Linked DNA regions of Drosophila melanogaster. The protein of the gene in region 1 interacts with the protein of each later gene in a pairwise test. Each region holds a gene or a part of one and is shown on either strand. Other genes may lie near its edges.

Region 1 (6,489 bases):
GCAGAGAAAATAAAAAAGAACATATAAGAACTAGAAACAGAAACGTAAACCATATGTTCGTGATCTCTCCATTTAGGCAGTTTTGTCTGCCTTATGATTATGGAAGTAGTCGATTTTACATCACAAAAATGATGATATATGAAATGATAATAAGTAAAGAATGCATCTTGAAAATGCTTACTACTTTCAGATTATTTAACGTGGGATCGTGGGATTTACCCAGAATAATTTCTATTTTGATTAAATGGATTCTCTAGTGCTTTAATCTAAATAAGACTATGATGTGAGGGCTTATTACTAACCGAATCTGTTTTTCCAGTGACGATGATGTGATGGATGTGATTGAACAGTGTGTGATATAAGTCAATAGAAAAGAATAGTAATAATCCATAGAAAGATGGATGATGACAAGCGATGTAGGCGATAAGGATGAAAACCAAATACTTACACGAGTTACTTTCTCGACCGAGGGGTACTGAAAGTAATACAAAATAGAGCAAGTCATGTTTTGGTTCAAAAGAGTTGACAACTCTCATATATTTCTTGACAGAAACGGTTTAGATTTCCTTATCCTAATTTGTGTCTTCAGTATGAATATCGTATCGACCTCTATATATGTTCATTTCAAGAAAATATAATGCTACGTTCATTTGAGATAAGACCGTGTTTATTTTATTGTATCACAAATATGTTTTAACATGACTTCTTGAAGGTTGCAAATACACACAGAAATTGTTGATCTTGTTCGGTTAATCTAGTCTATATGCGAAACTATTTGGGCATTAGTGGTGATTAGTCCAAGTCAAAACGAAAATACATCATCATTGAAAACTTCGTATACAAATATATATATATATATATGGGCACTCAAGGTTAGCGGGTTAAGTGGATTATTTGCAAAATGTATATATTTATATATATATATAAATTCAGAACAATGACGTATTAGTGGGCACCATAACATTCAAAGCCGTGGACAGCCAACGCCGATCCTTTGACGCTGTGCGTCTCCTACACGTGGTAGGAGAAGTGGCGGTACTTGGTGCCGCCGGGCAGGTTGCCGCTGGTGGTCGAAGAATAGCTGTAGCCACCGGGTCCGGCGCCAGTGGTGCTGGTCCGCTCTGTGCTGTAGTTGTACGAGCCGCCGGGACCGCTGCGCGACGTCTTCTCCACAGTCGACGTGTACGTGGAGCGCTCCGGGCGGTACGAGTGCGGGTTGCTCGAGTCGTAGCTGCTCTTCTCCACGGACGACTTCGAGGTGTACGAGTAGTCCGAGGAGGCCCGGCTGCGGTGCGAGCCCGGTCTGTCCGTGCACAGGTCTAAGCGTGGAGTCTATAAATTCCGATTTGATAGTGATATAGAGATAAGGTTTGGTTTGGTTTTGGTTTTGGTTTCTATTTCGGCATTGGCAGCACAAGCATCATAAAAGGATTAAACTTGCTCCTGCTGCTCCACGAACTGCTGTATGCAAATGGCCAAAGAACGCAAGGCGACTCAATTGGGGAAATTGAAACATGTTCGAACTGTTTTACTTTAGAGTTAAGAGCTTAATGCAACCATCTATGCACACAAATGCTATGAGTCTATGAATGAAACGTTAGATACATGGGTACACAGAGAAAAAAGCACTGACCGTTTGTAGTTGGAATCTCATTGAACAATTTCTATAGAGCGTACTGCTAAAATGGAAATATTTCGATTACAACGTATTCTGGATAGAATGTCTAAAAGTTCTACTTTTTCTCTGTGTAGAGTAAAAACTTGTTCAGTGTTTAGTGGGTTAACACAAGATTATATGGACTATGGCTAGACTATATGTAGGCCTATCATTATTTTGAATGCATTTTCAGTTTTTTTTTTGTCTGTTTTAGTTGGTTATGTGTCCTTAGATACGACTAGGTTCGTTCGACTAGGCTTCGATTGGGTTCGGGTTATCGGTTGGGTGAATAGGATGATGCTCCCCTAGTAGGAGTACTTGGTGACCATCGCGCCCGACCTCTCGTTGCGGTAGGTCTCCCGGCGAACTGGCAAGGACTCGGAGACGGCGCGATGGAGTCGCGGCAGCTGGGCGTCCAGACTGTCGCGGAAGGTGCGGCCGGCGGTATTGCCACCCGCCTCCACGGTGTCGATGTGCTGGCGCACCATGCCCAGGATCCGCGTCCGGTTCTTGTCCCGGGTGGAGACATACGGCTCAATGGGCTCGTAGGCCAGCTTGTAGTCGGGCTTGATGGAGGCCCGATTGATCGGATCGAGGATCGACCGCTGGCGCCGCTCGAGATCGGGACGCCGCACTCCGAAGGCGGTCACCGGATCCGAGATGAGCGACGGCCGCGGCACGAACGGAACTTTCTCCCAGTCAATTGGTGTTCTCTTCGTTCTCTGTAATGCCCAAAAGTCCACAATTTTGTTTTTAATTTCTGGGTCAGCCGGGGATTAAGCTGTGGCTCAGTGGTTAGGTGGTGCAGCGAACGGGGATCTCAACTGGGCGGTGCGGTGGGTCAAAGTCATATGTACGAGTATATACAGTACGCGGGCGGGGCATTTATATACAGCTTCGTTGGGGCAGTAGTTGAGTTTGGTATCAGATCGCAGTGCTGGGTGGGTCAAGCTGTATCCAATAACATCGAACATCCTTACATTATGACACAAGATGCATAGCTACACATGTGTCTGAACCCTAGGGTGGACCTGCATCTCTTTTGGTTTGCACAAGCCTTAAACAGATATTACGTATACGCAACGTTGCTTGCACAGTTGGGCTGCAGAAAGCTAGCCTACTTAACAGGTTTCTATTGAAGTGCAGTAATGAAAATTTAGATTTTGTTTTTCCAAACGGTCCACCCTAGTCTAAATACACATATGTATATATGCATATTGATACGACGTAGTGTGGTTGTGAGTAATGTGCAATGGGAGCATTAAGATGGAACACAAACAGCAAACGTATATATATTTACAGCAATTTAGCCAAGTTTATTTATCAATTAAGCCAGTTACCCTACATTCTAACCCTAAATACCAAAAATTAAATCTCAATAAAACGTATTTCATAGATACACATCAAAGTAGATTGCCGTTTTCATTCATCGAATCATCAAGTTATCACTATAAATTATAAACAGCGAGTGCTTTTCAAAATGTATATGCATGGCACACAGAAAGTGTCCAGACAAGATGGATCTCTTGGGGATTCGATGTACCTACATATATATCCTTGCTTTGGATTATCATCACATTGGACAGTCGAAAAAATGGGCATTTTCTTATGTTGTTCCCTCTAATTTTCGAATATTTTGCGTTATTTTGTTGTAGTTGCTTGCCATGGCATCGGTTTATTTGAATATATTATGGAAATCGGAAAGATATTTTTAGGACCAGCAAAGAGCGAAATGCGCGCGCATATAGTATTACACATACAAAAAGCAAATCCACGGCCCGTACAAAAACAAATTATCGAGAGAGCTGTGGCTCCGTATGAGTTTCATCGCGAATTCGCATGTGTTTGGAATTCCACTCGCCCATACATATGTATATATTCTAAACATTTTTGGGCACCAGACCATTAGACCACCAGACCAGACGGACCTCAGCATTTTGTAAATAATAATAAAATATAGAGATAGAGAAGAAAATGTTCGGCCTCCGCTAAATTCTTAGTTCCCAAAATGTATTTAGCGTGTTATATTTGGGAGGTGAGTAAACACGTATATCCGAAAGAGATATGAAGATCATTGCACAGCAATAAATTTGCTGAAGATTCAATTCCCACGATCGCGCGAAAATTGCAATCTTTTCACACTCGCATCGTTTTGTCAGAATATTTTGTCACATATTTATTATTTCGGTCTGGTTTAATTATGGTTAGACGACTGTGCAGGCACATAACTCAGATATACATATGTAGTATTCAGTGTAGTACGAGTACACCACAACCATTGTGTGAGAGTTATTAAATTGTTAGAAATAGGCTTATGTATGAATTACTACACAAATGTTTACACTGAACCTGAAAATGCTATATATGTACAACATGGGCAGAACGTCTAGGTGATCATTAAATATAATATCTCTGAGCACAAGGACATTCCGTTGCGAAAGACCAGCTAGTTAGGTACTGTAAGTTCGATACGATATTCATAATTGGTAGACACTTTACATTCAAACGTGTTTCAATTTCTCAAGTAATCTGCTCGCTTCTCAGAATGATACCATTGAGTACAGCAAGTGGGACACAAGCGCTTAAAACTGAATTCTTGTGACTACAGATTCGATTAGCCATTAGCTAAGTGCTAACAGCAAATAGTTAACTGCTTTCAAATTTGTCAAATTTATCCTCAGCGTTTTTTGCAATCACAGGTTAGTTTATTCTTGAACTGCTTAAGTTTCGAGTTTGGCAACTGTACGCACAGATATATTTCACAGATTTAAATCGAGGAAAACCACACTACCGTATGTCAAGTAAAGTTCAGATTCTATTTCGAAGGGCTTACCGTAACTGCGTAGGAAGTTGTCACCGGCCTCGAGGAGTAGGTTCTGCGGGTCGTAAATCCACTTTCGTAAACCATGTTGAGATTTTTAGATTTGGATGCTTTGAGAGTTTTCAAATAGAATTGTTCGTTGGATTTTGGTTCGGATATATCGTCGTTGCGTGTTGTTCACTTGACGCCCGTTCGAGTTGATCTGCCTGAGAATCGCACGGAGCACTTGCTTATAATTTTTTGATTTTCAAAATTTTCACAGCCTTCGATCCCGCTCTCTCTCGCACGTTCGGTCCATACCTCTTTCTCTATCCATCTCCCAAATGAACTTATTTTTGGAATTAAGAAACATTGACATCTCTCCTCGCAAAAGAGCGAGCGAATTCTGTTTACATAAAGCCAGCACTTTTCATACAGTTGCGTTCGGAAAAGCCTATATACACATGAAATGTACCGAGTCTAGTGCTCCCAGGATATAGAGCCCTTATCTGCGAAAACAGACGTCACGGATTTCTTCCAGAACTTTATAGATAAGATTAGAATCTGTATTTAGCATGGGATATGACTCGAATTGATGATGATGGCATCTGAAGATGGAGGAAAGGCTAATATTTGGCATAGGCTAAATATGGGTCGATAAACATCAAAACATTCGGCGGATTATTTATTTATAAATCTGCCACAAGAATTTCTCAATATAATGAGCAATTATTGATTATGGTAATTTCAATATTTTTACATTTAATTGGCATTTAGCAGTATGATTACATGTAGACATTAATAATGTTTATAGCTTAATTCGTATTCCCATCATTCAAAATATCAGCATTCAAAGCATCACCGTTGTTTAAAGATTGATTAGCCAAAACTGATATGAATGAGCTTGGCATTTTTTGAAACAAATAAGGCGTGAAATTAAAATCCTGAGAGCAATTTATGGTCAGTGGGTATCACCTGTGGACCGGACACAGAGCTTTCCACACAAATAGCTGGATATAAATTATTAAGAAAATACAAAAATGAAAATAAGATAAAAATAAATGTTGTTTTCCAACAGTTTGAGGCCAGATTACTCATACCATCTTACAATAAGATCGGAAACATGTATTCGTGAACATATAAATAAACTGCACATCATCCTATACCCACATTTTAAATCGGGTGTGTAGGTGTTTGCTTGTATATAAACAAAACCATGGCAGAAATTCAAAAAAACCAAATTCTTTATGACATTAACCTTAACGAGAGGCAATGAATGATTCGTAATTTCAAGGCTGCCGAAGTCAGCCTAATCGGCGAACAAAAATGTCATTGAGCACTGACTTGGAATTTAGTGTTTGCTTTGTATTAATTAGGTGTTAATAGACATTGAAAAATTAGCAGAAAATAAATTGGCGAAAAGGATTCAATATAGCGAACAAATCTTCTTTGATTAAATGAAAAAGGTGGCACAACATTTCTGCAACATGTTGATTTTCATAAATCTATAAAGAGGTATTACTTTAGGTCTGCAACTTGAAAAGGTTTACTAATTGTCCATAAAAGTATTCGTGTCTGACATAATTCATTCATTATTTTAATATGAGGTGATATATGGAGGTCATTGTCTGGCGACCCTGACGATGTTGAATCTTTAGATCTGTAAGATCTTTAAGAGATTATTTTTGAAACTATGCATCTAAAAAATATGAATGTAAAAGACCTTATTCAAACGAATTTAGTATTAATATTTCTTGATATGCTTATTTAATGTTTAATATTACGATAACTTACAAAAATTTATTCAGCAATATACGTTTAGCTTATAAATATCAATGTAAGAGCCCATATATTTAGGCCCGTTTGAATATATATACGATATAAAACGAGCGGCAAGATGTCAGTGACTTAATACCAGAAATCTCTTGGTCGGATGCCCCTCATAATGATGCAAGTGGCGCAGGTGCAAACACTTCCATGTGTCTCCGTTCCCAAGTCGCGATTTTGATCCATTGGAGTACATAGATATACG
Region 2 (6,440 bases), on another chromosome or scaffold:
ATTTCCCCAGCAGGTGCTGTGGGCTGTCCGCGATGTATGCGATTGGCTCAAGAGAAAGTAAAAGGACGTCAGCCAGTGATGAGACGGATCACTGGTTATATTCAAGATTGGAATTGGTTGAAGTATAACCAAGTGTACCGAAGGCGAAAGTCATCGATTGGTTGGAACTGGAACTTATCTCGCCTATTTTAAGGCTAACTACTACATTGTAAACAATAGGAGCTTACTATACCTTCGCATCACTGCTTCCAGCACCCAAGGGCTGGCTCCATTCATGTCGTTGGCGTAATTTAGTACAAGCCCAAAACCCAAATCCCTGAAGTAAACAGCAATATCCGAAAATAAACCCATTCGAGCGATTGCCTTTGCGTGTCCAAACAATCGCAGCCACAAAATTATCTAGAGGCAGAGGAGCAGGTGGCCACCACATCCGGCACTTGGCCGCCGCGATTCTCAACATTTGCTTCGGGTTGTGCAACTCTCTCGATTCGTCGTAAATTTTAGCCTAATCGAATCTAATTGAATACATAAATACGGAAATAAATCAATTTAATTACAATACAGCCAACAACAGTCATCGCAAATAGTTTACACGCACACAAGCACTCGAACCATTATTATTACAGATATAAATTTGTTTAAGCCTTGGTAAGGTATTGAGAAAACCTCAAGAGTTGCGGGTTCATATGCTAATTAAATTAATTGTCGGCACAAGTAGGACCACTTAAGGTTCTTTAGCTATACATATTTTTGGAAGTTCTATTATCATATCTTAACTGAGCTTTAAAAAATCGCTGGTAAACATGATTGTACAAGAAGTTGAAATTCCTGGAAATGGTTTGGTAATTGCATACATATGTACGTACATATATGTACATAGCTTACAATTTAAACGATAGAAAAGTACAAAGTACAGCACTGCAAATATCATGATCGGCAACATATCAGAAAACCGTTAGAGGTGATGGTTCTCTTTCGTTATCTAAGTTCCCCTCCTCTCGCGCTGTCTTCATCTTGTACTTTCGCGCTTGCCGCTTTGGCTTAGCGCTCTGTCCTTTTCGCTCTGCAATTGAGTCGCTCATTGTCATGCGCGCATCGACGCCGAACTTTGCTAAAAAAAAAAAAATATACCATGATCGTTCGAAATCGTTACCAGAAAAAACGTCTTTTAATTTTGCAAAAATAAGTTAATAAAAGGGCCCAACAGCCCACTTTTCAATCGCCATCGGAAATAGAGCAGTTGGGAATAAAATCTGCGTGAGACTTATCTATGTGGTTGCCCAGTCACCAGAGCGAATACCCCTAAGTAACTAAATACATACATATCTATCTACAGATCAGTCGTGTTGGTCGGTGAGGTGATTGCGAGCTTACAGCGCTTCCGGATAAAAGTCCCGATAGGCGAATCCCTCAATGTACTCCGGCCGGTGGCAGGCGAACAGATGGTGGGGTAACTCCTTGCGGGCGTACTTCTCCAGTGCCTTGCGCGTATTTTCCTGGAGCACGGCCTCGTCAAATTTGACCCGCTGCACCGTGGTCTTCCGAAGGATGGTCTGCACCAACTGCGACCACACGCAGCCGGACTCCTCTTCACCCAATCCGGAGCCGTTTTCGGCAAGCTTTCCTTTTTGAATTTGTGTCGACTGCTTCTCTTCCTGGCTCGGCTCCGGCTGCTGTGCAGGCGCCGCCATCTGGGCTTTGGTTTGAGTGTAGACTGTGGACGCATCTGCGGCCTGAGAGTCGGTAGTGGCCTCTTTCCTTTTGGGTGGCGGAATGTCCTGCATGAGCGTCTGCAATCGATCAACTGTCTCCGCCATTCGTTTCCGAAAGTCCACTATTCGACGGGCGTAGCTGAAGAGGGCTCGCTCCTCCGCCAACTTTAATGGCCTTTTACGTGCTTCCTCACTTAGTTCTCCGTCTTCCAAAAGTGGGTGAATGCGAACACCGGCCTCCGAAGTGCCACTGAGGTAGATTCGGATAGCAAATTCCTGCATGGCCGAAGTATTGACCATGGCTATGGCATAGGCATTACGTGCTTTTAGAATAACTTCTCTTATATGAGCCAACTGGGGCGAGGAGGTATTGGACACTCTTGTTTCGAGATCTTGTAGATCCATATGCTCCAAGTGAGCCGACTTATCCAGGCTGTCCAACACCTCTGTCAAATGGCTAGGTATCCGGTCACCGTCCGCCGGAAAGGTTAGCAAACCTAATCCTTGAATCACTCGGATGTTGGCCACATATTGCTGCTGCAGTTCGTACAGCTGCCAAAGGGTCCTCATTCGAGACTCATACTCTTTCTGGGCGCCTGTGCCCAATACACTACTCATATTAGTATCGTACAGTTGCAAGCCCCGTATAAAGGCTACATCCATGGTATAGTTGCCCATGAAGGTCTTTACATAGTTAAGAGCCTCGGAGGCGCTTGCGAAACTCTCCCGTCGCTGAGCAAAGAATTCATCCAAATCGCTGACTGTCAACTGGTTTCGTGCCACCACGTTTCTGTGCAGGCTCTCGTTTAGCTCCCGCTCCTCGCGTATCTGCTCGAAGTTGCTTACTAACAGATCGCCGGCGGGCTGTTGAAATTCGTCGAACACCTCAATATCTACGGCCATGGTAGTGCTTGTGCCGGATTGCTCGCGTTCCTGCTCTTTTTCAGAGTCCTGCGCCTGCACACTCTCATCCTCTTTATTAAAGAACTCGTTGTTCTCTGGGTGACACTGCGGCACCCACTGTTCCTGAACAGCTACCTGCCGCTTTTTGCTCCTCTCTAATATCGCCCGTGGACTAAACCGCTGTAGATCCAGAGAGGTGTAGATGTCCTCGTTGTGGGCGTGGCAACAGTGGAGGGCTGACATGTCCATGGGATGAGCCTCTGTGTTGAAGATGTACGCACCGGCCTGTACCACGCATACATCATCCTCGGTTGACAGCAGCTCGCCTCCGGACCCATCGTTGTGCAGGAAGTTTTCCTCGTCAAACAGCAGATAAAGGTACTTGCTTGTTTCCGCCAGGAAGAATGACTCCATGCGATTCTCCTTTTCGTGGGTGACAACATTGCGAATCTGGAAAATAATGCAAGTATATATTAATTAATTTTAAGTTCTTAAAAAGCTTGTTCACAGAACTTCTCACCGTTGCATATCCGCATTTGGTTTTGGCACTGAACTCCAAGGTCTCCAGCATGTGCTCACCAAACTCCAGAAGATACTCGTTTCCTGTGGCTCGATAGAGATACATAGCTGACTCGATTAGCTCCGGTCGCAGGGGGTACACCTCCCGATTCGGCGATGCCTCTCCAGCAGCAATGTTATAAAACTCTGGCAGAAAGCCGTACTTCTTCCAGACCCCAATGTACCGTGATATGGTGCGCAAGGCCGGCTCCGTGTCGCCAATAATGCTCAGGATGCCGGGCCAAAACGCCTCCAGGGACTGAAAGACGGGAAGGGTGACGCGGCCTTTGTTCATGCCTACCCACACGTACCAGTCCTCCTTCCGCATGTACTTATCAATGGCCGCGCGAGCCTCATGGAATAACTCCAAGAGTTCTGGGCGATTGAGCAGGACAGATGCCTTAACTAGGTATTCAAAAAGGGAATCCACTCCTGCTCCGATACCAGAGTCGAGGGCGGTCCAACGACCGCTCTGCACGTCGATGTGATTGCCAAAAAGTCCAATGGGCGAGCGATATGCCCATAGAGCATGTACCGCCTTCATAGCAACATCCTCGTAGATGGTTTTCCCGGTCAACCGGCTAAGGGTACCAAATTCGATGAGGAATGTCCCCACGCCCGCCGTACAGGTTATAGAGGTCTCGCCCTTGGGCACGCCATAGCGCAGGTTCACCGTGCCATAAGGCATACCCGTGTTCGTGACGAAGGCTGGCAATAATCGTCGGGCCACATCCTCCGCCAGTCGCAGCAGAGGTCCCTTGCAGGGCCATCCTGGCTCTAGCTCTACGCCAGCACGCTTGGAGAGCAGATGCGCGGACAGCAGCCCGCCCACGATGCGGATGTTTGTCTCGAACACGGACACGTTGATGTCCCTGTCAAAATCCATCTTCTCCTCGAGCAGTCTTGCCGCGCGGCGGAATTCCGTGAAGTTGCCCATGGTGGCCAGCGTGTCCAGAGCGTCGATCAGTGTCAAGGAGTAGCTGCCCCAGGTGTCGTGGCCATCGCAGGTCAGCGGACGCAGTTCATCGTAGTTGGAGGCGTGGCGCAGGTAACCATCGTAGGCGTGCTGGAACATGCGCCGCACATCCTCCCTGCAGATTCATTGCCGGTTAGGATTAGTATGTCCGAGTTTAGCCCTAGCAATGACCCACCTCAGTTCCAACTTTCTTGCCTTGGAATACTGCTTCTGGCCGCTGACACCGGTGGACAGCAGGACGAGGAGGACCGCGCAGATGAGGGTGCCCGGATAGCCGTTGTTTCGGGGTTTTTGCTGCATCGTGGGACAGTCAATCAATCAGGGCCGCTAATTCAATTATGGGCATGGTCAGTGTTCCATAGCCAGCGTGGATGTGGGATGTGTGGAAGTCAAATGCGGCTACGTTGACGCAAAATCACAACAAGGGCTGATTCGGCGGTGGCATCGACCGCCGAATGCCCTACTAATTCCGTTCGGTGAGTGTTTTTTTATAGAGCGCTTAGAGTAGCAAACGGGGGAAAGAACACAAGCCAAAGAGCTTTTTTAAGGTAACAACCAAACACTATAGGCTAGCAAACACTGTATTCTCCGCCAATTCTGAAGTACGTTAATTTTACCCAACAAAATCCCTAGCAATAGGATATGTCATTCCGTAGGGTGCAATCAGCTGTTGCTGATCGAATAACTATCGAAAGGGTGGTCAGATCGAATTTGCATGGTGGTCATTGCTTGTTAAAGGAATACAACAGCTCAGAATAGCCGTAAAATCAGCGCGGCAATATTAAAGTCGGGTTGGAAAAATTAAATGGCAATTTCTTTAAGAATTCAAAAAGTTTGTGATGACAAATATACCGATTGTTTGTCACTGCTTTGCGCGGCACACGTTCCTTTATACTTTTATTCGCGTCGAGTTGGCAGCACATACCAGTTTTTTTTGTGGCCATTCAAAAGTGTGTGTTCGTACGGGTAAAAAGTGATTTAAATTCAAAATATTCAGCGAAACGACCGCCTCCAATAGAAGCAACTGTACCCTATGGTAAGTAACTGCCCTCTGCACCCGTTTCACACCCGGACATCCTCCGGATGAGCTGACCAAGAAATCCGCAGCCTTTGTTACGCTTCCGACTGCGAATTGCAGTTCTGGCGATGGGCAGCGATGTGTTTCGGTTTTGAATCATTCTCCGCGTAAAAAAAACTCAGAAAGAGGGTCGACTATAACCTCGCGGAGTAACTGCATCACGGCCCGTGTGCCTTTTGTACTCCGCGTAAGGCGATCGTTTAAATGCAATCGCGTATGCTTAATTGTCCGTTGGGCGAAAAGTAACAACATTGTGGGTCTATACATGCGGGATTGCCTCTGGCTGACCAGAAACCACATTGAAACCATCCCGTTGACCGTAGATATAAGCGTGTGCCATTTGGGATCTGGAAATCGTGTTTCCACCCAGTTGTTTGCATATTTATAAACAATTAAAGAAAAATATTAAATTTTTTGGTCAGGGCTGTCGCCCCTCGCATGGCATCGATAGAAGAGCGTCCGGAGCTGCGGTTGCAACCCTATCCGCTCACGCAAATCTATCGAAAAATTTTACTCCACGGTCGATTTTCGTTGCTTTTTTTTCACACTCGTGTAAAAAAAAAGGAAATAGCTAAGTAAATCGAAAGTACAGTGCAGTGTTTTGATCCCGTGGAGTGCATGTTCCAGCGGAAAGTGTGTGCAACAAATATGAGCAGTTCGCAAAAGTGGCGAGCAAAAGCAATAACAAAGTAGCAACAGCAACGCAACGTGTGTGTGTTGTAAGCAATCTGTACAGCGGAAAGGTGTTGGTGTGTTGGTGTGCTCGGGGGGTGGTGTGCGTTTCGCCCGTCCCGTGTCCATAAATTAGAATCAAATCGAATCGAAATCGACATTGAAGTCCGCTGCTCCGCCACCGCGATGTCCGTCGACCAGGATCAATAAGCAGCGTCACCACCAGTAGCGGACCATCATTAAGTTCTCCATATCGAGAGCAGGCTGACTCGGAATCGAACTCGGATTCGGAATTGGAATTGGAATTGGCATCGGAATCGGAATCCATAGCGGAGGAATCACGCGCGGCAGCCAGCCCAATACGGAAAACTGCTGAAAAATGTTAGATAAATGCCCAGTTATCTACAATTATTATGGCTTGTCCCTGTGTGCGTGTCCAGGTGTGAGGGTGTGTGTGTTTGTGTGCGATAGCAGAAGCAAAATCCGCTCAAATTGCGATGCCAAATAGTCGGCCAATTAATTGATCTTTCAATTGGCGACA
Region 3 (5,934 bases), 6.2 Mb from region 1:
GACAAAACAACGCTGCTCACATTTAAGATTGTTTCCAAACCAAAAAAAAATATATATAAGAGTCAAAACTCATTAAATACCTCAATCTTGATTCTTATTATCTTATTGCTATATTGGTTGTTAACTATACGTTTTGTCTAAGGGAACATCGAATTACAGGTAGAATTACATGACATAGACATGAATTTACAGATCAATTGTGTCTGGTTGACACTTTTGATAACTCTCAATTCAGAAGCGGATCGTTAAAGTCACGCAATATTACTATACTCAAAGTTGTTGCAGAAAGTGTTGCGGACAGTGCGGTACGTGTATTTCCATTTTCAACAATTCCCATTTTCAACTGTAATGAGGGTCGCTTTTTTCTGTTATTACGTGAAGTAGTAGTCATTAAAAGGCAAGAATGTCACAATTTGCTCCAATAAAAGTTATTGGCCAATAAACGAATAAAATAGTTACCCCAGACCCTAAGCATGATTGTTTTAAAGCTCTTTATTTATGATGAAGGACTTTCTTAAGTTAGGAATGATTCATAGGCAACATACAAAATACATGATATGATAATACGAGTAGAATAAGATATAAAGTAAGTTGTATGTAGATTTAATTGATCGAAATTATGCGCGCACGTCATGACATAAGTAATTTTCATTTCCGTTTTTTGAAAAATAGTCATCAAGACGTTTTTAATGATTTCTGTAAAGATTAAAACAACCATAGAGATGCATTTTTGCGATATAAAACTTATACTTAAGTTTTATTCAAGAACACTTTCACTTTTTCGCCAATCAATAATAAGCTATTTAAGTAATGTGTTAATGGAACTTAAAGAAATTCCTAGTAATTACTATCTTTAATTGAAAGTAAGATTTGTTGTTGGTAACAGGGTCAACTGCTGACCATTTCATACGATCCCACAGTGGGCCGATATCAAAATCAAGGCCCAAGGGTAGCAGACTCTCTCATAAGGAATGGTATTCGTATTTGTATTTGTTGCTCTGCTTCCAGATAAGATTGAAAAAGTGCCTATGAGCACCAAGAGATAAGGCACACTTTTGCTTTTGCGATAACGCACCATCGCAATTTCAGGCAATCAATTAATGAGCCAGCTGATATCGCCGATTCCCATTCCCTTTGGGCCAGCCAACGTCAGTTAGTTGGAGTTGGAATTCGATTCACAGCGGGTCGAGAGTTGTAGATCGGGTCGAGAAAAAAGAGCAAATAAATAAATAAAGAGCACAGTGGGCAGCACACAAGGTAACCAATCCATCGGTTCTTCTAAGCCCGTAAATCAACATACCAACGATATGTCTCAGACATCTGTATCTTAGGATCTGATGTCATGCCAGTGAAAGCAATAAATAAATCTCGAAACACGGCGGTAAATAATTGACCCACAATCACGGCCTAAAAATACGCGATTAACTCTTATATTCGAGTCCTTATGTAATAAGCTGCCATTAACGATTGCTTCATGAGCGAAGAATTTCCTGGCTTGTGATAACTGCAAAACAGAAATAAAGTAACGCCAGCAAACTGAAAAAGCAAAGCAATCGCAAACACAGTGCCAATTGCGTTTATCTAATCGGACAGGTAGCTACCACACAGGTGAAATAGGTACTCTCCTATGTACATATGTACACCTATGTACTTCTAAATGCAAAGGTATCTAATGGTAGCCATCTATCTGATTCGCATTGCCCATTGGGAATCAATAGTTTACCAGAACGCTTTGATTACACACCGCCGCAATGGTCAAAGCAGGCAATAGGACCCTGAAATACTTCCGACCCATTTCGGTCAAGTATGGGTAAATATCAAATATCAAGCGTGATAGACAGGAGGCTATCTCATAGATTGAAGCATTGCCAACACCTGTCTATCATATACCCGTATACTTAAAGTGCCACTTTGGAAATTTTCGGTGTTTTACTGTTTATGTTAGCATAACATTCAAACAAAGAGATCTTTTCGTCCTTGATCTGCATTTATAGTGTAAAAGATGCAGAACAAGATAGAAAATTCTTTACTATTGAACTATTAAAGTTTAACCTATTTTCCTTGTATTAAAAAGTGTAAGAGCAACTATTACTCATCGTCAATTACCTCTATGTCATGCATTAGTTGCAATGTAGTGTTATCAACAAAACAAAAAGAAGGGCAAAGAATTGCGCAGTTCATATTCTACAATATGTGCGCCTGAATGCCAAACTTTACATGGAAACAACCAATAAGTGATAAAAAAAAAAAAAACTATAGTTATTTGGAATGCCCATTTCCCTATTTCTCAGGATGCCACAAAACGGCTACGAAAATGGAGTCCCTGGCGGGAATCAGGCAAATGGGCACTACGACGAGGTCAAGCCCACCTATGCCCTGGAGCACTTGGCCACCTTTAAGCTGAAGAACGAGGCTGAGGTCAAGCAGCCGAAGGAGAAGATGAAGCTTCTGGTCGAATTGGAAAAGACCGGGGGCATTTGGCCGCACAAGATGTTCATGAGCTTCAATGGGCAGTGGCTGGTGATGCTGGACAGTGATATGAAGGAGATTGAGAACTTTCCGGGGAGCCTGATCACGGAGCCCACGGCTTTTATAAGCGATCATCCGCAGGAGTCATTCAACAATATCCTCATTTTCTCAGTGCCCGGAATCTCACTGGGCAATACCGAAATGCACATCTTCCAGGTGAGCAGCCACGATTTTTCAGCACTTTGAGATCTGTAATAATTAGATCATTAATAGGTGGCCGATGTCAGTTCCGTGCTCTTGGTTGAGGATCTAAAGACGGTGAGTTGAGTTGAATAAATAGATCCCCGATCTATATAATCCCAATACCACGATTTCTCAGCTAAGCAAGGGAACCCCTGTGACAGTGGATCGCAACAAGACGCCCATCCTGCTGCCCAAGCCGGAGAGGCCGCAGAACCAGCAGGCCAAGGATCAGTATGGAATAGCAGCTGCTGTGGCCGGAATAGCAGCCGAGAAGAATGCCATAGACAAGGAGCAGACCGAGAGGGATGTCCAGGTGATAAACCACTGCTTCGAGGACATCGAGCGGTTCATGGCCCGTCTTCATTATGCCGCCGAGGCGCTTAACGAGCTAAAGTTGCGCAAGGAACAGCATAATCCCCACGGTGAGGGACTTTTGGTCCTGAGATCGCGACCACCAATCGAGAGCGAGTTCCATGACATTTTGGCCAAGGCGAAACTGGCCCTTATATACTCCGTTCGGCTGCAGAACCAATTCACCAAGCCCGCCGATCCGGTGCACAATGTCTTCATATCGCTTAAATCCATCGTCACGGTTTGCAACGATATCTACGTGGATGCGGGTCTGCCGCAGGCGGTACTTAATCCCCTCCTGCGCCGTGAGACCATTGCCTTCCTCAATGGCACCCTCGACTCCAACGAGATGCAGCTGTGGCAGAGCCTCGGTCCCAACTGGACGGTTCCCAAGGATCAGTTCAAGGATCACAAGAGCTCTTATCATCCGATCTTCTACGACGATTGGTCTCCCGATTGGGTGGTCGATGAGGAGGTGCCGTACCTGGCTCCTGCTCTAAAAAAGAGCACAACGCCTTCGCCAGTGCCGGTTCCCATGCCCCCGAGTCCAGGTCTAGGAAATCGCACCTGGCTGAGTAGATTGGAGAGCCGAAATGTCAAGATCGCCGAGGTTACCTTCAATAAGTCGGCCACCAACGATAAGGAACTAAAGGTTACAAAGGGAGAGTATTTGGAGGTAAGTACCTAATAATAATCGAAAGGGGTTTTAATGTCAGTTCTTATCATTCAGATCTTTTAGCCAAATTTATCCCAATTTCAAGTTCCTTTAATTAAGATTTGCACAACATTTAAAACGACTTGCTTTTTTAATCGTTCGCTGACGTATGAATGTATGTAAGAGGCAATTATTTTGGGTTACAATACAGTTTTGTAAATATATAGGAATGTCCACGTGTGAGAACTGAATGATTTGAAATCTTATAAGGCACAGGTCTTTTACTTTTATATTAATCTTTTGTTTTGGAATGTTACTGATATAAAAAAGCTTTAGATAAGTATTGGTTGTGAAGATATGAAAATTCATTGCCGGTAATATATATGATTCAATAATTTTAAATTCAGGCATTTGAGATGTCTTACCAATGAGAGGTCAGTAACACTATATCAATACAAAAACTTTGAATGCAATTACTAAACATTGATTATATTTTTAACTTTATACCATGTTTACTATACATGGTACCAATCTTATCGATTCCCCAATTACGCGATCTTACCTTCATATCACCATGATAACAGACCTTATAATAACTATCATATAAATCGTCTGATTCCAAGATTATCGATGACTCCCGCAACTGGTGGAAGGCCCGTAACTCGTACGGAAACATTGGCTACGTGCCGCACACAGTGCTCACGCCGTACAACTTTGAGCCCGGAGTAAATGGCCGGGACACGGAGTCGCTGGCCTCAATGGCTTTGACGGAGAACGGCGGCGAGGAGGCCATTCCTCCTCCGCTGTACCGCAACACAATGGCCATGTATACCGCTCCCGTGGAGCAGCCGGCGGCCAATGGCAAGGCCATGCAGCGCACCTTCTCGATGCCCAACGTGCCCGTTCCACCACCGATGCCTCCACCGAGCGATAGCCAAACGCCCACGCCCAGTGGCACACTCAAACGCAACATGGCGGCGGCAGGAGCACTAGCAGGTGGGTACACTAGTAAATTAAAAAAAATAATACAATATAATAATGATATTTGTATTTATCTCATTCGCTTACCAGCCATGCGGGCCCGCAATGATTGCGAGGCAGATGATCAGCTCTACTACATGCAGGGCGACGTGCATGATGAACTGCGTCTACTGCAGCAGCAGCGAGAGAGGCGCAAGGACCTCGAGATCCTTAAGACGCCGGAAATCTTCATCACCCAGAATTCAAAGCCAAGCGAGGTGGAGGAGTGGCTGCGGGGCAAGGGATTCTCGGACATCATTATCAAACGATTGCACACGCTATCCGGCGAGGAGATCTTCGCCCTATCACCGCACACCATCGAAAGTTACTTTGGCCGGCGGGAGAGTCGCCGCCTCATTTCCCAGATCGTGCTGCAAAAGAATTTCTGCGAGGTGAGTTCTTGGACATATCCTCACCTTATCTAATCTAATCGAATCCATTCCAATATCCAATTTTGCAGTACAAAACCATTCGATCATCGGAGCTTTCTGCCAAACTGGCACGTGCTCGCCAAAAGGCCGATCAGTCCAATGGCAATCCCAACGAGGTCTTCTAAGACTCCCAGTATCCCGAGTTTTTTAGCCGGAGACCAGAGAGACAAAAATGCTTCAGATGCCATTAATTTATTTATGTGTAATAATCCTTCATTTATGTTAAACAGTGTTCATACGTATATTAAAAAAAAAAAAAGACAAAAATGGGTTTGATTTATATGCATTTAGTGTTAACATCTCGAATTGATTATAAATGTAATATAGATACTTTATTTAAACACAAATATTTATGAAGTGAAGAAATCATATGATTTCCTGTTTAGAAACTTAACTTCCCTAAACTCAAAAGTGGTATGGCATGATTAATTAGGCAAGAATATGTTTATCATTACAGGAAACTTTGAGAACTGGTTATGGAACAGTCCTAATGAAACGCTTATTGGTTAACCCAGATACCTTATATGTCGAACTCCAGTTCGAATTGCAGACTTCAATCAAAAGACTTACGAAATAGCCGAAATGAATTGGTTTTTTCAATAAACACGATGTTCAATGTTATGAAGAAGTAATAGACGTCGATTAAGAGTAATAAGTGATAATCTTCATAAATTCTGCTTCGTGAGTGCATCCTAAAAGTCAAGTAAGTGGGCGTTTCAAACCGGTAGGGGCGTGGCGTGTTATTTACCTTTTTTGTGAACACAT
Region 4 (4,057 bases), on another chromosome or scaffold:
TGATTGATCAACAATGATGTGAGAACTCGATGCTGTAATGCTTATTTCGAGAAAGGTTTTATTTAAAATATAGAGATTTTTAAAACACATTAGTTGTGAAAATAAATATTAAATATTCTACATTTCAATCACATACATATAAGTTTCTGTATGTGCGCGTATACTTCCTCATATGCAAGTTAAATATAGGCGCGTGATATGAAATATTTCCCGGCACAATATGAGTGCTATCATTAATCCCTCAGTTTCCCTATTTATTACTATAGATTATTATTGCAGCTATTGCGTGCTATTAGCTGCGAAAACTTTAATCCCAAATTAGAAACAGGTGTGAAAGTGGAGGGTTTTAATCTTGAGCCCAAGGCAACGACTATTGGCAATCTTTACAGTTCACGTATAAGTGATAATGTATAAAAATAATCTGTGTAAATTACCGATTGATTGATAAGTAATTCACAAGTTTTATTCGCTTCGTTGTGGGAAAGTATAAAGCTAGAATTTTATATTTGTCAGAAAGAAAATATAATTATAGATTTATTTAAATCTGGTTCTGTATTCATAACCAATAATTTTTACAAAAAGACCAAGTCGACTGTTAAGGGGAATTTTTGTAGAAATAATTGCCTTTATAATTGTGCACTTTACGTGTTGCATAATATTTACTTTTTTTTTTTTTTCAGACCAAAAAACCAATTAGTTTCCATTCACTATTTGTTCTCCCCAGCGTGGTGGGCTTATCAACAAATCCCAATAAGTATAGGGTATTCCGAACGGGCGATGCGACAGGTTGGCAAAAAGTCGCCAAAACGGAAGAATGACATAAACATATGTACTATATACATGATGTACTATAACGCTTATATACTAAATATTATACACTATGAGTGTGTGTCAAGTGCAAGTGCACCGAAAACAACAGAGAGGGCACACAGAAACAATAAAGCCAATGAAAAAGCTGAAAAGTACACAATTAACGTGATTGTCCCCAAAATTGACGATAAATCGAAAGGCAACGGCGGAAGTAAGGAAATGTTGGGCAATACAAATGAATGTGAAAACATGCCGAGAATGGAAGAATCTTTGTGGCTTTTACCTTTGAGAAACTACATTAATTTTTAGTTGGCACTCAATTCGGTTGCCAACGAGTACAGCTGTTGCTGTAGTTGTTGTTCTTGTAGTCGTCTATACTGCCGTCGATTTGTTGGCACCTTCAACTTTTGATAGCGCCTTTGTTATTGTTGTATCACTTGTTGCCAATAAAAAATTGATTAACACTTTTCTGGCGCATGCATCGCAAATATGCTAAACTTTGAGCACTCTTTAGCGAGTTTTTGTTCTGCCAAAACGATTATCACTTATATAAAACCGGCTAAAAGGCCCGCAAATTAATAGCCAACGCTATAAGCTGCGCTTTGTTATTTCAATAATATTTATTTTCGCTTATTTAACCCCGCACGTTTAATATCTCATCGTTTTTTTTTTAATGCAGAAAAGCGTCGCTTGCGACACACGTAAAAGTGTTTCTTTGTCGTTATATATGAAGTTGTTGCTGCTGTTGCTGTTGTTGTTGCTATTGGGGGGTCGAACGCCAAAAAAAGATGCTCGCGCCAAAAACTAAATATGTGGAAAATCCGCGACAGAAGCAAAACAGCGTCCGACTGACCCAGTAAAACTGAAGAAAAAAGTATTCAACTCACAGAGTGGCGAAAGCTTTTTAAGCTTACCACCATTAACAGCTGTTCCCGATGCCTTCTAATGTATCGGCATAACTATCGTACACACACATTATTTCGTAAATTTTAAATTATTTGATTATATGAGTACAAAATGTGAACTATAGTAATGGGATATACTTTTTACAAACGTTAAGCGTTATTATTTTTTTAAATATTGCATTTTAGTGGATATGTTATAATTTATCTATTTAAAAATTAGATTTGGTATATTTCCGTCAGCTGATTGGTATATTTCAGGCGCTGCATGTACGGCTACACTGAAAAAGAGGAAGAGATAGCCATGACAACAAAACAACTTGTTTTTGATAAATCCTTAAGTTTTCACCGGCCGCTTTTGGAATATTAGCATAAAGTTGAGACGGAAATATAGATCGTTGAAATGGACAAGCCCCAGCTTATTGAGCACCTCCACGAGGCACTCAACTACACGGTGTACGATACGAAATGGGTGCCCCTTTCGGCCAAGTTTGTGATTCTGGGCTCCAAGGCCAACGGGCACGGAATCATGGACATCTACGAACTCAACCAGGATAAGCTGGTGAAAGTGAAGTCCGTAGAGAAGAAGGTTGCCTTCAAATGCGGCACCTTCGGAGCAGCTTCGCTCAGGAACCGCCACATGGCCATCGGAGATTTCGAGGGCAGGCTGCAAGTTCTGTAAGCATAATCCCGCTTAAGTCATTAGATGCTTCTCTGACATGTGTTCTTTGCAGGGATATGGAGCAGCCGGACCTTCCGGTCTACAATGTAAAGGCCCACAACGGCATCATCAACACCATCGACGCGATTGGCGGCACACAAATCGATTGCGGTGCTCCGGAAATCGTTACTGGAAGTCGTGACGGCGCCGTTAAAGTCTGGGATATCCGCCAGGGGCAGGCTCCTGTGGTGGACATGTCGCCGCCGCCGCAAATGGGCGATGGCGTTAACAACAGCAGTGGCCGCCGGGACTGCTGGGCCGTGGCCTTTGGAAATACCTACAACGCTGAGGAGCGCATCGTTGCCGCCGGCTATGATAATGGAGATCTAAAGATATTCGATTTGCGATCCCTTTCCGTACGCTGGGAGGCCACCATGAAGAATGGTATCTGTGGACTGGAGTTCGATCGCCGGGACATTCCCATGAACAAGCTAGCGGTCACCACTTTGGAGGGCGGTCTCCTTGTCTTCGATATGAGAACCCAACATCCGACCAAGGGATTTAGTTACGTGGAGGAACGCAACGCCGGACGCAGCGTGGGAACAAATGGCGTGATCAGCGGACCCAAAGCCACCGTTTGGGTAGTTCGTCATCTGCCCCAGAATCGGGATCTCTTTCTCACGGGCGGCGGAACTGGTTCCATTCGCCTGTGGCAGTACGAGTATCCCGACAGGAGGGTCATTGATGACTCTGATGGAAACAAGTTGGGAGTTGCTGGAGCCCTTAATATGCTTAGTGCAGCCACTTTGAGCTCTCAGCCGGTTCACTGCTTTGACTGGCATCCAGACAAACTGGGCCTAGCCGTCTGTGGAGCATTCGATCAAAGCGTGCGCGTTTTAATTACCACCAAACTAAACACTTTTTAGATGGTGGACATCAAAAGAAACCCATTAAAGAAATGCTTCATACTTGTGATATTGGATGATGGGTTAATTCATAGGTTTATATTTTTATGAATACACTTTCATTGCACCTATTGCTAGACAATAAATCCTTAATGCGCAATAGCTTTTAAAATCAGAAAAACTGGATAATCTGCTTGAGCTGAATTATATTACAAATCAAAACTAGCTTACAAATATATATCAGCAATAAACTATTTCATGTACAATAAAAAATGACTCTTTTTATTTGTTTTGCAATTACAAAATAGTATAAAACCTTATATAGTGTATAACTAAGATCGAGACGCATTCATTCGTTCCTGGACAATTTTTGTCAGGTCTTCGATGCGTTTTTCCAGCTGCTCCACTTTTGCAGTCTGTTCTGCCGATACATCCACATTTATGGCTCTCTTCAAAGCATTCAGACAAGATGTTCCCGCCAGTCTGGCTGAATTTAGTTGAGAGGTAATCATTACCTCACTTTCCTCTTGAATGTGCTCTGTGATGGCCGCCACTGAGAGATCGCAGACCTCTAAACAAAGATCTAGGGCTTTTAAAGCGTGCTCCGACTTGGTTTCCCAGCCCAAATGCTTCGGTGTGTACGCACGATACGATTTTACCAGTTTCTCGGCCTTCTTCAGTGGCGTTTGGGCCACCAAGGCGGCCAGTTCCCACACAAGAGGCTCGTTACCATGTTGAATGCTCTGCTGTCCCAGAAGCTTTATGAGTCTTTTGATCAG

Evidence for each region.
Region 2: the proteins of fau (region 1) and Edem1 interact in a two-hybrid assay, tested with the Drosophila melanogaster proteins (one large-scale study listed by BioGRID).
Region 3: the proteins of fau (region 1) and CG8907 interact in a two-hybrid assay, tested with the Drosophila melanogaster proteins (one large-scale study listed by BioGRID).
Region 4: the proteins of fau (region 1) and Wdr92 interact in a two-hybrid assay, tested with the Drosophila melanogaster proteins (one large-scale study listed by BioGRID).

The regions. Positions count from the first base shown.
Region 1 is NT_033777.3:10,772,687-10,779,175, forward strand, and holds fau (fau), read right to left. Parts: upstream 4,689-6,489; 5' UTR 4,566-4,688; coding exon 4,491-4,565; intron 2,380-4,490; coding exon of another isoform or gene 1,963-2,379; exon of another isoform or gene 1,333-1,962; coding exon 1,012-1,332; 3' UTR 511-1,011; downstream 1-510. Other genes in the region: CG45076 (uncharacterized protein), read right to left, coding at 449-475, 4,491-4,565; CG45078 (uncharacterized protein), read right to left, coding at 1,963-2,379, 4,491-4,565. UniProt on the Drosophila melanogaster protein: Plays an important role in the regulation of tissue responsiveness to oxygen deprivation.
Region 2 is NC_004354.4:1,903,171-1,909,610, forward strand, and holds Edem1 (ER degradation enhancer, mannosidase alpha-like 1), read right to left. Parts: upstream 4,810-6,440; 5' UTR 4,450-4,809; coding exon 4,325-4,449; intron 4,265-4,324; coding exon 3,136-4,264; intron 3,066-3,135; coding exon 1,375-3,065; coding exon of another isoform or gene 1,371-1,374; exon of another isoform or gene 1,152-1,370; intron 1,112-1,151; coding exon 1,042-1,111; 3' UTR 534-1,041; downstream 1-533. Other genes in the region: mip130 (Myb-interacting protein 130), read left to right, coding at 5,183-5,185.
Region 3 is NT_033777.3:17,007,119-17,013,052, forward strand, and holds CG8907 (uncharacterized protein), read left to right. Parts: upstream 1-1,711; 5' UTR 1,712-1,751; coding exon 1,752-1,810; intron 1,811-2,291; coding exon 2,292-2,685; intron 2,686-2,742; coding exon 2,743-2,787; intron 2,788-2,848; coding exon 2,849-3,739; intron 3,740-4,341; coding exon 4,342-4,714; intron 4,715-4,789; coding exon 4,790-5,130; intron 5,131-5,198; coding exon 5,199-5,294; 3' UTR 5,295-5,415; downstream 5,416-5,934.
Region 4 is NT_037436.4:17,906,139-17,910,195, forward strand, and holds Wdr92 (WD repeat domain 92), read left to right. Parts: upstream 1-2,004; 5' UTR 2,005-2,115; coding exon 2,116-2,390; intron 2,391-2,446; coding exon 2,447-3,299; 3' UTR 3,300-3,545; downstream 3,546-4,057. Other genes in the region: CG5290 (uncharacterized protein), read right to left, coding at 3,611-4,057.